Linked DNA regions of Mus musculus. The protein of the gene in region 2 purifies or fractionates together with the protein of the main gene of each other region. This does not show direct contact. Links are inferred from orthologs where the notes say so. Each region holds a gene or a part of one and is shown on either strand. Other genes may lie near its edges. The genes, in order: Ppp1cb, Wdr82 and Setd1b.

Region 1 (4,394 bases), on a different chromosome or scaffold from region 2:
CATATTTATCATACTGGTCCTTAGAGCACACATTCTCGAAGGTTCTCTTCACACTTTCAATACAATGACCACTAACTGTAGTCTTGCTATGGATAGACGTCTTTAACTATAATTACATATCTTTTAATGTTCACTTTCATTTAGGACACACAAAATATATAACCTAGACATCTTTAACTATAATTATGTATCTTTTAATGTTCACTTTCATTTAGGACGCACAAAATATATAACCAGGTTATTCTGTTCTGCGAGGCAACTTTACAGAATAGCACCACTTGAATTTGAGTTAAATTAGCATGTAATACTGAAAACTAAAGTAGGCTGCCCGGCAGAGGTGGTGCATGTCTCTAATTCCCAGTATTTGGGGAGGCAGAGTTTGAGGCAGCCTGGTCTACAGAGCAAGTTCCAGGATAGCCAGGTACAGAGAAACCCTGTCTCAAAAAAAATTTTTTTTTCAAGATTGAATTTACTCACTAGAAAATCCAAGACTTCAAAATTTATTTGAACAGGTTTAGGCTTGGGGAGGGAAGGAGGGACTGGTAATATTTTAGAGTAACAACAAAAGCAGTCTTCGTCTGGATTAAGGAACAAGAATGTAACAAAACTACTAATAAATTGTACATTCAAAGCAGGAAGAGCAGGAAGGCTAGCACACACTGAGAAGCCACTTGTTTATACTGAGCTGCTTGAGTGAGGAGTGAGCCTTATCTTTGACTCCTGGTGCCTGGCAGTGCAGTCAATAAACACTTGCTATATTAGAAAAAAAGAACGTATTCTTACCCAAGAAGGGGGGACTGGTGGGTGCTGGTGACTGATGATAGAACCAAATATTTAACAATGATATAGCTCAGGCTACTTTCCCCTTTTTCTCTACAACTCCCACTCTATTAGTTGTATTTAAGCATCTGTAACTGTATAGAAGTACATTTGATTTAAAGGCTTCTAGATCGGTTTAAAATACATGCATCTGCTATAAGGTATTTATGAAAAATTAAAAATATTAATAAACTGCGATAAAATCTGATCCAAATTTAATTTAAAATTTAGATTATATGAAAACAGTGGTGGGCTTAAATTCCCCTTCTCCGAAGAGTAACAAGATATAAAGATTTAAAATAACTATATTTCCCTAATAGAGCCAGCCATGTACTACAAGCATAAATTTTTTTTAACTAAACAAATTTCTCACAGACCCAGCAAGATGTTTCTATCAATTAAAGACCACAAAATCCCAAGCAGTAAACACAGCAAGCACCAGGGGGCCTCCCAGGAATAACTTGATACTAAAGGAGAAGGTAAATAAGAAAGAGTTCCTGGTAAAAGTTCTGCCTTTTTCTCAGCCTTAAGGCTGCTGGAAAGCTTTTACATCTGGAGCATATAAACAGAGTTGTTTTGTTGTTGTTGTTGTTTTAAACAGAGAATAAATACTTCGTACTTTAACTAGTTAAAGAAAAGTCACCCCTCTCCACGCTCTTTGGTAAAATTCCAAACACAAACAGCTTCGCTGTAGTAAACACACGCATTCATTAGGAGGCTGACAAAAAGGACTCTTAACCACTCAAAAACGCAATTCTTTTTTACACACTCCACAATTAGTGACGACGCAAATTTTATAGCGTAAAAGGGTTCTTTTGACCAAGACCCGCCTTTAACTTCGAACAGTATCCCCCAACGGACCAATACATTTAACTACTGGCCTCTCCATCTCCTCTTTTCTCCTTATGTTCCCACCAACACAAAACTAATCGATAAAAGCATAAGAACCCGGAACTTCAAATGCTGAGAACACTTGTAAAATACCTTTTAAGCTCAAGAGATTATTCACAACAGACATTTGCTAAGTTTGTGCAGAAATTAAACTCGGCTCAAACATGTTTAAAAAAAAAAAAAAGCCCCCAAATCAACCCCTTCAGCACATGTATCCGGGCGTTTCGTATTTCTAACGGACGTCTTTAACCTGATTCAGGATTTTTACTGTTTTTTTATACTCCAGATAATAAATGGTAAACTAGTCATCGTATCCTCTCCCTAATTCTTTCTAGAGCATCCAGTAAAATGCAAACGATCCGAGAGCCTTACTGGGAAGGTTTTATGTAAAATTCACTACCGGAACGACCATCGGAGGCTGCCAAGGGCAACGCACAAAGAGAACCGAGAAATACACATTCCACGGACACACAAAGCCCAGCGGCAGGCATCCTCGCCCCTTCTTCGGAACGGTCTGCAGAGGCCAGCACAGCGGCCAAGCGGAGCCCGGCCGCCTCTCGGGAAGACTGTACCAGCCGATGGGCCTCCGGCCTCGCTCGGCCCGGCCTCCCCGCCTGCCCGCCCGCCAGCCCGCGCTCCTGGCCTCCTGGGGCACCCGGCCCGCCCGCCCGCCCGCCCGCCTGCCCTCCTCTCCGACCTCAGCTCGAGCGGGAAGGGCCCCGCGGCCGGGTGGGGAGACGAGCCGGCGCCGCACTCACCCTCCAGCAGGCGGGTGATGAGGCTGTCCACGTTCAGCTCCCCGTCCGCCATCTTGTCGGCACCAGACTCTCCTCCCTAAAGCGTTAACAGGGCTTCTCGGCGGCGGCGGCGGCTCGGCGTTCTCACCTACGAGTCACGCGGCGTTTCGACCCCGGCTCCAACTCCCCCCGGGCGCGGGCCCTCCCCCCACCCCCTCCCCGCCGAGCAGCGACAGCGCGCGCACACGCTGGCGGCGCCCACTGGAAATAAATAAATAAACAAGCAGGCCCCCAGGAACCGGGCCGCGTCAGGAACCGGGCCGCGTCAGACCCCAGCCGCCACCGCCTCCTCCACCTCCTCCTCGGCACCGCCCAGCTCCGCAAAGCTCGGCAGCGCCACGGACAGCCCCGCCCTCAGCGTCACTCCCTCCCCTCCGCCCTTGCGGGCCGCCTAGCCGCGCCGAACTGCGCGCACGCGCGCCACGTCCCCTTCCTGCCTCTCCAGCTCCCCGCCCTCCCCTCCGCGGTTGCTAACGCGCAGGAGCGATTCCCTCTCTCAGGCGTTCCACTGCAACGAACAGTCGCCACTACGCAGGCGCAGGGCGGAGCCTGCCTTGCTTGTGAACGCAGAGCCGGCGTAGGCTGGAATGACCTTCCTTCCCTGCTCCCCAGGGCCTGGTGGTTCCGCAGAGTTAACTATTGCGTTCTTCCCGCCTTGCTTTTCTTTTCTAGGTTTCAGTCACTGGTTTTCAAAACAATTGCTCGTATTTCCGCTAACCCGGAAACGTGGGTTTCAGTTGCCTATGTTGGAAACCCAGGTGTGCTGGAGATAAGAGACTTCTCTGTTGAAAAAGATTGACATTGCAGATCAAGGGCTCTGTATCACATCACCAGAGTCGCTGATTCGCCAGGTGACCCTAGAAGAAACAGGATTCAAAGTGGGCCTCAGTCAACAGCAATAAGATTTTACACGCTCCCGACATCTCCATACACTCAGGATACCACTTTTCTATAGTTCTTTTCTGTTCATTGATTTCTTATATTGCTTAATTCTCTTATCTTGTGATTTTTAAACATTTCTCTACTGCACTCGGTTCCTAGAGGATAAAAATCACATTTACCGGGCATAAGAGACCTGTAATCCCTACAACTGGGAGATGGAGGCAGAAGATCCAGAAGCCCAAGGTCATCTTCAGCTACATAATAAATGCTTGCAGTTGGGATAAATTAAAAACAAATACAGGGACTGAAGAGATGATTCAGAGGTTAGGAGCACTGCCTGTTTTTTTGCAGAGGACATGGGTTCAATTCCCAGCACCCACATGGTTACAACTATCTATCTGTAATTTTGATTCTGATAAAAATAAAATAAAAAGAAAAGGACATGATTGCTTCTAGGTATGATGAAGAAAAAGGTTTATTAGAGATAAATGGGAGAACATAGTTGGGAGGAAAGACATCTGGGAATATTCAGAGCGAGCATGACTCTGAGGGGGAGGGAAAGAGAAGATTAGGGCAGGGAGTGTGCATGCCATACATACCCTGTAACAGGTAGGAATGGCTGAGAGAACCTGGGTCCAGTAACCACTTTCACATGTTAAATAAGTACCTCTGTCATTTGTCCCAGGTTTGAGACCTAACAGTTCCAGGGCATCTGATGCCCTCTCGGTCCTCTCTATGGGCACTATACATAGTACACAAACATACATGCAGACAAAGCACTCATATGCATAAAAATACTTTTTAAAAGTAAAGAAGGAAATAGAAAAAAAAAAAAGGAAACCAAGCATGGGAAAGATCAGATTAAACCAGGGGCTTTATTTCCAAAATGCACGCTGGAAGATTCTGTTAACTTGAAAAAGATGGGCTAAAAAGTTGACTCTCTGCTTTCTAGAAACTAAGAAACTGAAACACCAGTTACAAATGGAGGTAGATATTTTGATGCCA
Region 2 (4,102 bases):
ATGTGTGCACGCACTCACAGACACACACACACACTAGTTTTTAAAGAGGCCTAAAATAGTTCCAGATCCTTTGCCTACATTTGATGTCTCCACAATTGCGATGTTGTAGTCAGCCAGTCTGCAGGATCTTTATTGTAGATGCTCTTCAGAAAACTTCAGTTCCCACAGCAAGTCGGGCACATGGCACCAGATCTGTCCTTGCTATCTCAAGCTCCATAGCAGCCTGGATCACCTGGATCACCTAAACTCAAAGGCAATCACTGGGGATTGAGTGCAACCACCTGTGGAAGGTTTTTCTAGAACAGATTTGCAATTTGGAAAGTTGCCATCCATTCAGGTTTCACTCAAACTGGTTCCTTCCCTTCCTCACACCCCGGAACAGATTGTAGCCAGGAACTCTGCCCTTTGTCAGGAGACAACTGCAGTACAAACTTACAATCTTGTCGTTTTCCCTCAGCCAACCACTTCCAGTTCTATCTAGCTACCTTTTTTCTTTAACCTAAGAACCTGAGATGCAACCCCCCCGCACATTTTTCAAGAAGGCTCCATTTTTTTCTCGTGTTCCATTTCGTCGTTTGTCAACCCAGGTTATAAGGGACTCTGGTTGTCATGCCTTTGCAATCACCTGCCAGTGAGTGAAATGTCCCTTCCTAAGGTTCCCCCTCCTCCCGCACTAGAAGTTAGGGATCTTCATGCGCTTCGACTCTCATTAAATTTTAAAAGAAGTTCCAAGCTTCTGAAGTTTAATATAAACCCAGTTGAAAATGCCACTTAAAACTTCGTGCAAGTGTATGTTGTACATCACTCAACTAACAAATCGAAGCCTCCTGGCTCGGCCGTGCAGTGGTTAAGTCAGTCGGTGATGGGTTCACCTGATTCACACCCACACACGAGCAGGCCTCTCCGCCAGGTCCTGCGGCCTCAGAGACACCAGCGTCTCCCCGGGGCTTGAGAGCACCCACAAAGGCACTAGCCCCGAGGCGACCTCAAGTCCTGCCCTCGAGAGAGAGGGTTTAGATGCTCCACGCCCGCAGGTTCACACCCCAGAACCGCGGGCTCCAGCTCCGGGGCCTCAGCAACGGGAGGCCGCCCCGCTGACGTCATCGTCCCGCCCCCCCTCCCCCAGCTCGCGCCTCCGTTCCCTCCCCGCCCCCTTTCCCGGCGTCCGCCGCGACACAAGCTCCTCGCCCTCTGATTTTGCTTCTCCCTTCAAGATGGCGGACACAATGAGCCGGCGGAGCGCCGGTTGGCCCTGAATTGACTCCGGAGAAGAACGGTCAGCGAGGTCCCGTCGTCCGGGCGAGAGAGCGTCGCCTGAGGAAGAGGACGCGGCAGCCCCACTGTCAGCCGTCCTTCGGTTCGTCTCCAGCGCGGCGCCCGCACCGCCGGGGTTGGCCCTGAGCAGCCCGCCCGATCGCTCGCCTCTCGGCCCCGCCCCGGCCCTGCGCCGCCGCTGCCTTCAGCAGCAGCAGCCGCCGCCGCCATGAAGCTGACCGACAGCGTGCTCCGGAGCTTCCGCGTCGCCAAGGTGTTCCGCGAGAACTCAGACAAGATCAACTGCTTTGACTTTAGTCCCAATGGCGAGACGGTCATCTCTAGCAGCGATGATGACTCCATCGTGCTCTATGACTGCCAGGAGGGCAAGTGAGTGTGATAGTGGCCGAGTTCCAAGTGCCCCTCTCCTTCCCTCTGTCGCTGGTCCCCGACTGAGCCCCCACCCCCAACCCCAGGCATGTGGTGCAGGCGCTCTTGCCAGGGCCACCTCCATCCCGCAGTGCTGCAGGAGATCCTCTTTAAGATGATGATGGTTCTTAGTTCATGTGTCTTTGCTCTCTTCCGAGCGCGCTTTTCCCGCTTGCCAAACCCCACCTTGACCTTGACCTTTAAACGCCATGTCCCTGCACCCTGCAGCCGGACGGATAGCCCTTTCCACTCCCCTGGCGACTGTCAGAATGTGCGGGTGGACTCTGAGCTCGATGCAGAACGGCAGGAGCTGTGTTCTGTCCATCAGTGGCGTCCAGCTCTCTGCCTTCACAGCAGTGACCTGGATTCAGCCCTGGCACGGTGCCCGCCCCCTACCCCTCAGCTTCCCGCGCGGCTTTTCTGCAATCAAGCCCCGCGGGATGCAGTTTTTAAGCTGTCAGGATTTATCGATTGTGCCCATGTGAGCTTGCTGTCCTTTCCCAGTACCAATACCCAGGCTTACAGTTAACTTACTAAACAGACTCTTGGAAACTTTTCTTTGCCAGACTCCTGAGAACTTGGCCGCCCCATTCTGGTCAGAATGTGAGCTCTCTTTAAAACAAAGAAAGCATTCCGGAACAATTTAGTGTTTCCTTTTGCATTACAAAAAAAACCCAAGTTTGGCCGCTTAGCCAGTAATCTCAGCATTTGGGCGATAGAGGCAGTCAGACCCTGAGTTCTGGACTTCATAGCAGAGAGACCCTGACTCAAAACAGTTAAAAAACAAAAAACAATAACCGCCAGATTGTGGTTTGCTTATAGTTATCAAAGTTTTGGAATTCTGGAACTGGTTATGGAAATTATGTTAGTTGGAGAACTTGTGTATCTTTGCCGTTTTCATAGCCTGGGTGTGAGGAAGACATTGCCTGTCTCATCTCTGGAAGTTCAAATCCTCGATAAGTAAGCAGTGACCTCTTTTGTAGCAGAAACTAGTTTAGGCTAAATTTGATTCCCTTTGTCAACTTCAGCTTCCTTCCTAAGCAGGAGGTGTTTAGTTTAATAGCTACTGTTTTCGACATTATGTTAAAGTTACCTGTTTTTGAATCCTTGGCTTTTTCTCTCCTTTTTGCAGCTGTTCTCTTTGTTTATTATTTTTTTCAAATAATAGTTTTCTTTTGGAACTTGTCTCTGAGTTTATCTAAAGTAAAGCTATTGTAGAATGAGCTGTATATGATATTGTCCTTGATGGGTTTCCTCGCTGGAGCTCCAACAAAGTATTACGTAACTGTCGTTGGACTTGAGCTTGCTGTATGTGGGAGAGTTTCCTACAGTGGTGATCCTGGGGAAGAGAAAATTACTAACTGGACAAATAGTTATTTGAATTGATGTTCATATTTGTGTATTGATTATTATCATACACTGGTCTGACTATTTGATTCTGTTTGGAACTACAAGTAATTTGAAATTGGTTTGTCTGACATGTTTGGTGCAATACATAGCTTAGAATCTCCCCCCCAAATCTGTAATGGAAATGCATATCCTATTCAAAGGAATAAAACACTAAGACTGAAAAAAATGTTTATTCAGGCATGTAACCTTTTTACATGATTACAAACTTACAGAAAGTTACAATGCTCCAAAGAACTTTCTTGAAAAAAGAACGTGTCCAGCAGTGCCTATAATTTCAGCGCTTGGGAGCTGGGGGTGCGAATCCAAGGCAGCTTGAACAGCTGTCCCAAAAAGGAAATGTAAGGGCTGGAGATGGCTACAGGCACTTGCTCTTAGAGAGGAACAAGTGGACTCCTACACCTTGTAACCATCTGTAACTAGTTCCAGGGGATTTGACCCCTAATTCTGATTTCTTGAGAGATGGCTCAGCTGTTAAGAGCACCTCTTCCACAGGTCCTGAGTTCAATTCCCAGCAACCACATGGTGGCTCACAACCATCTATAATGGGATCCAATGCCCTCTTCTGGTGTGTCTGAAGTCAGCTACAAGGGTACTCCTATAAATAACATAAAGAAGTCTTCATAAAGAGAGAAGTTTGTGGGGGGAAAAAAGTCCAGGAGCTAGAGAGATGGCTAACATGTGGTTAAGAGCGCATGTTAATTTTGCAGAGAACCTAGGTTAATCAGCAGCACCCACGTGGAGGCTCACAATTACATTTAACTCCAGTTGCAGGGGATCTGATGTTCTCTTCTGGATTCCATGTGCATCAGACCTGCATAGGGTGCCCATATATACAAGCAAGCAGACAAAATGCTCATATACATAAAATCAGTAAATGTAAAAATATATATGTATAGAAGAATAATCCAATAATTCCAACAGTAGAAGAAAATAACTGTTTCTTTGGAAGTAACATCTTTATTAGATAATACCAGTAGTAGAATTTGGGTATTTGAAAATAGCTAAAACA
Region 3 (3,624 bases), on a different chromosome or scaffold from region 2:
GTGATCCTAATGTCAAGTCCGGGGGTTGGAGGAGGGGCGTGGCACTGTTGAACCCTGCCTGGGAGGACTCCAGGGGTGAACACCAGGGATTTTTCTTTTTGAGTTTCTGAGCACACACCAAAGGCAAGACAGAAAAACTTAACTTTGTTTTGCTTTTAATGATGGCGACATGCAGTCTCTAAGACCTAAGACCGCGCTGGGTGTTGTCGCAAAGGGTTGTGGTTTGTGGTAATTTTGAGTGGATTTGGCAATTTTGAGTGGATTTGGTTACCCCCCAACCCCCGCTTGCAAAGCCTAGTCATTTCTGTCCAGTCGACAGCTTTCCTTCTCATTTCCCAGTTCCTCGAGCCCTAGTAAATGACCCCCAACCCCACCCCTGTCGCCATGCACTTGTGTGTGTGTGTGTGTGTGTGTGTGTGAACAGACTATTAAATCTACTACCTAGCCTCACATTAAGCTGAAGTTCAATTTCCCCCATGACTGAAGCCTGCAGTCCCCCTCTCCCATCACCTGCCCACATCTTAAGCAGCAGCTAAGCCTCACTACAATTTCATTTCTGGGGGACCTGGAGGGGTGGAGAGGGAAAGAAAAGAAAGGAAAAGACACAATCCTCAGATACTACCACTTATTTTGAGATTTGTAATTGTATTTCAAGAAAGAGTCCAGTAAAGTGTGGCTCACCTCCTTTGCATATGTAAGCAGCTGCCTCTAAGGCTCTAAATACCAATAATCGGGGCCTGGTTGATCAAAATCTCTCTCTGGTGGGTAGAGAGGTAGGCAGAGGGCTCCAGGTAGTCCCCGGGCAGACTCTGGGTACTCCTGGGGCTTAAGCTGGTGGAGAGCAGCCTGCGATTGGCTCACAGTAGTATGTATGTGTTTGACAGGCTTAGATTGTCTTTTGGCCCCAGATAGTTAAGTCACCTCTGTCCCCAGACTTCCTCTGCCCTTGTTACAAGCCGTGACTATTCTGTGGTGAAAGAATGTGGGGGATGGGGTGGTAATAGCTCCTTTTGGGGGGGAACTATAGTCTAAGGAATGGAAAGAACTTTCCATTTAGGATGGCATTTGGGGGTTTTGGGGTTTTTTTTGGGGGGGGTGCAGTGGGGGGAGAAGCTCTGTCCCACAAAGGCATTAACCTTAGAATCTCAGGATCAGAAAGATCAGAGTTTTGCAGCCTGGTTGGACAGATGAGAATCTGGAATGAGGTGAGAAAGGGTAGAGACCTAATCAGGGGACACACAGGATCCCCGGGCCTGTGGTCGCAGGCACAAGGGATCCCTGACCGTGCTAATAAGTGAGTTGGAATCCCCATGGGGATGTGTCCTGGTGGAGCTTCCATGGATACCCTTGTCCCTTGCCTGTTACAGGGGAAACTCGCATGCGCTTCTACGAGCTGTTGGTCACCGGCCGGTACACCCCTCAGACCCTCCCTGTTGGTGAGCTGGATGCTATTTCTCCGATTGTGAGCGAGACCCTGCAGGTAGGTTCTTCCCTGCAGCTGCTCCCTCCGCTTCAGCACCTCTTGGCTTTAGAGACCTGACCACACCTGCTGTTGGTTCCCAGCTGATCTAAAAACCCTGTTTTCCCAAGATCTGCTGCACCAGTTCTCCGCTGGGATTGGCCCAGCATCCCTGAGTCCCTCCTCTGGTTCCACCCACCCTCCACCCATACTGGGATTCCCACAGATGCAGGCTGTTTTTCTATATGAATGTCAAAACATCGCTACGTTTGGGTCTTAGTGTCTGGTATCCGGGCACCCTCTGTACGTATTTCCAGAAAGCAGAGTTCAGATCCTCTTCCAGAACAGACTGGCTCCTCCACCCACGGTATACCAGGACACTCACCTAGCTGATTCCATTCAGCCACAGTATGAACTGAGGTGTCCCCCCCTCCCAGAGGACTGAAGTCTGTTTGCCTGCTGATCAGGAGGCATGGGGGAGGGGCTGTCACACCTTTTAAATATCTAGAATTTGTAAGGACAGTCCATCAAACCCAAGACCACAGTCATTGGTCACATCTCTGTGTCACACCCTTTAATGTCAGATGGCCTGAGGCTTGGGAAGGAAATAGCAGCCTATACCAAAACATCAGGGTCTTCTCTTTGTGCTGCCAGTATTAGGGACAATCCTCTATGTGTGCAGAGGGTAAACATCTATACTTAGGGATAGGGAAAAACAACAACAACAAAAAGAAACAAAAAAACCCCTGCGCACTTCCAGGCACTCCAGTTCTTTCCTTGTGATGGGAGGTCATGGGCTCCACACTCCCTAGCAGCCAAAGTTTTAGCGGGAAGCAGCTCAATTGCCTGGTTCAGCTCGGTCCTCCCTCCACACCCACAACACCCATGATCTCTTCTCTCTCCAGCTATCAGATGCTCTGAAGCGCCTCAAAGATGGCAGCCTGTCTGCAGGCTGCGGCTCTGGCTCCTCGTCAGTCACCCCCAATAGCGGTGGGACCCCCTTCTCCCAAGACACAGCTTACTCCAGCTGCCGCCTGGACACACCCAACTCCTATGGACAAGGCACCCCAATCACGCCTCGCCTGGGCACCCCTTTCTCCCAGGATTCCAGCTACTCCAGCCGTCAGCCCACACCCTCCTATCTCTTCAGCCAGGACCCCACAGCCACATTCAAGGCGAGGCGGCACGAGAGCAAGTTCACAGATGCCTACAACCGCCGCCACGAACATCATTATGTCCACAACTCAGCGGTGGCTGGAGCCACAGCTCCTTTCCGAGGCTCCTCGGACCTCTCTTTTGGGACAGTTGGCAGCAGCGGGACTCCCTTCAAGGCTCAGTCGCAGGATGCCACCACGTTTGCCCATACTCCACCTCCTGCCCAAACAGCCACGGCTTCTGGATTCAAATCAGCTTTCTCTCCATATCAGACTCCAGCACCCCCCTTCCCGCCACCCCCTGAGGAGCCCACCGCCACAGCAGCCTTTGGGAGCCGCGACAGTGGGGAGTTCCGGAGGGCACCTGCGCCCCCGCCCCTGCCACCCGCTGAGCCTCCAGCCAAGGAGAAGCCAGGCACCCCTCCTGGTCCCCCGCCCCCTGACAGCAACAGCATGGAGCTGGGTGGTCGGCCTACCTTTGGCTGGAGTCCTGAGCCCTGTGACAGCCCTGGCACCCCTACTCTGGAGTCCTCTCCAGCCGGGCCAGAGAAGCCCCATGACAGCCTGGACTCCCGCATTGAGATGCTGCTGAAGGAGCAACGCACCAAGCTGCCCTTCCTTCGTGAGCAGGACTCAGACACCGAGATACAGATGGAAGGCAGCCCCATCTCCTCCTCCTCCTCCCAACTCTCCCCGCTCAGCCACTTTGGCACTAACTCGCAGCCCGGCTTCCGCGGTCCCTCGCCACCCTCCTCGCGCCCCTCCAGCACAGGTCTAGAGGACATCAGTCCCACACCACTGCCTGACTCTGATGAAGATGAGGACTTGGGCCTGGGCCTGGGGCCTCGGCCCCCACCTGAGCCAGGCCCCCCAGACCCTATGGGTCTGCTAGGCCAGACAGCCGAGGTGGATTTGGACCTGGCAGGAGACAGGACCCCCACCTCAGAGCGGATGGATGAGGTACCACCATGCCTGTCTGTCTGTCTGGGATTGATTTTGTCTGTCTTGTGT

Evidence for each region.
Region 1: the proteins of Wdr82 (region 2) and Ppp1cb purify together in Homo sapiens (affinity purification with mass spectrometry; 5 studies listed by BioGRID and IntAct, with this or other methods). This does not show direct contact. The link is inferred for Mus musculus from reciprocal best matches to the Homo sapiens genes WDR82 and PPP1CB.
Region 3: the proteins of Wdr82 (region 2) and Setd1b purify together in Homo sapiens (affinity purification with western blotting; 4 studies listed by BioGRID, with this or other methods). This does not show direct contact. The link is inferred for Mus musculus from reciprocal best matches to the Homo sapiens genes WDR82 and SETD1B.

What each region holds. Positions count from the first base shown.
Region 1 is NC_000071.6:32,457,482-32,461,875, reverse strand, and holds the start of Ppp1cb (serine/threonine-protein phosphatase PP1-beta catalytic subunit), read right to left. Parts: upstream 2,907-4,394; 5' UTR 2,521-2,906; coding exon 2,469-2,520; intron 1-2,468. UniProt on the Homo sapiens protein: Protein phosphatase that associates with over 200 regulatory proteins to form highly specific holoenzymes which dephosphorylate hundreds of biological targets.
Region 2 is NC_000075.6:106,169,736-106,173,837, forward strand, and holds the start of Wdr82 (WD repeat-containing protein 82), read left to right. Parts: upstream 1-1,193; 5' UTR 1,194-1,483; coding exon 1,484-1,644; intron 1,645-4,102. UniProt on the Homo sapiens protein: Regulatory component of the SET1/COMPASS complex implicated in the tethering of this complex to transcriptional start sites of active genes.
Region 3 is NC_000071.6:123,145,183-123,148,806, forward strand, and holds part of Setd1b (histone-lysine N-methyltransferase SETD1B), read left to right. Parts: intron 1-1,367; coding exon 1,368-1,480; intron 1,481-2,364; coding exon 2,365-3,573; intron 3,574-3,624. UniProt on the Homo sapiens protein: Histone methyltransferase that catalyzes methyl group transfer from S-adenosyl-L-methionine to the epsilon-amino group of 'Lys-4' of histone H3 (H3K4) via a non-processive mechanism.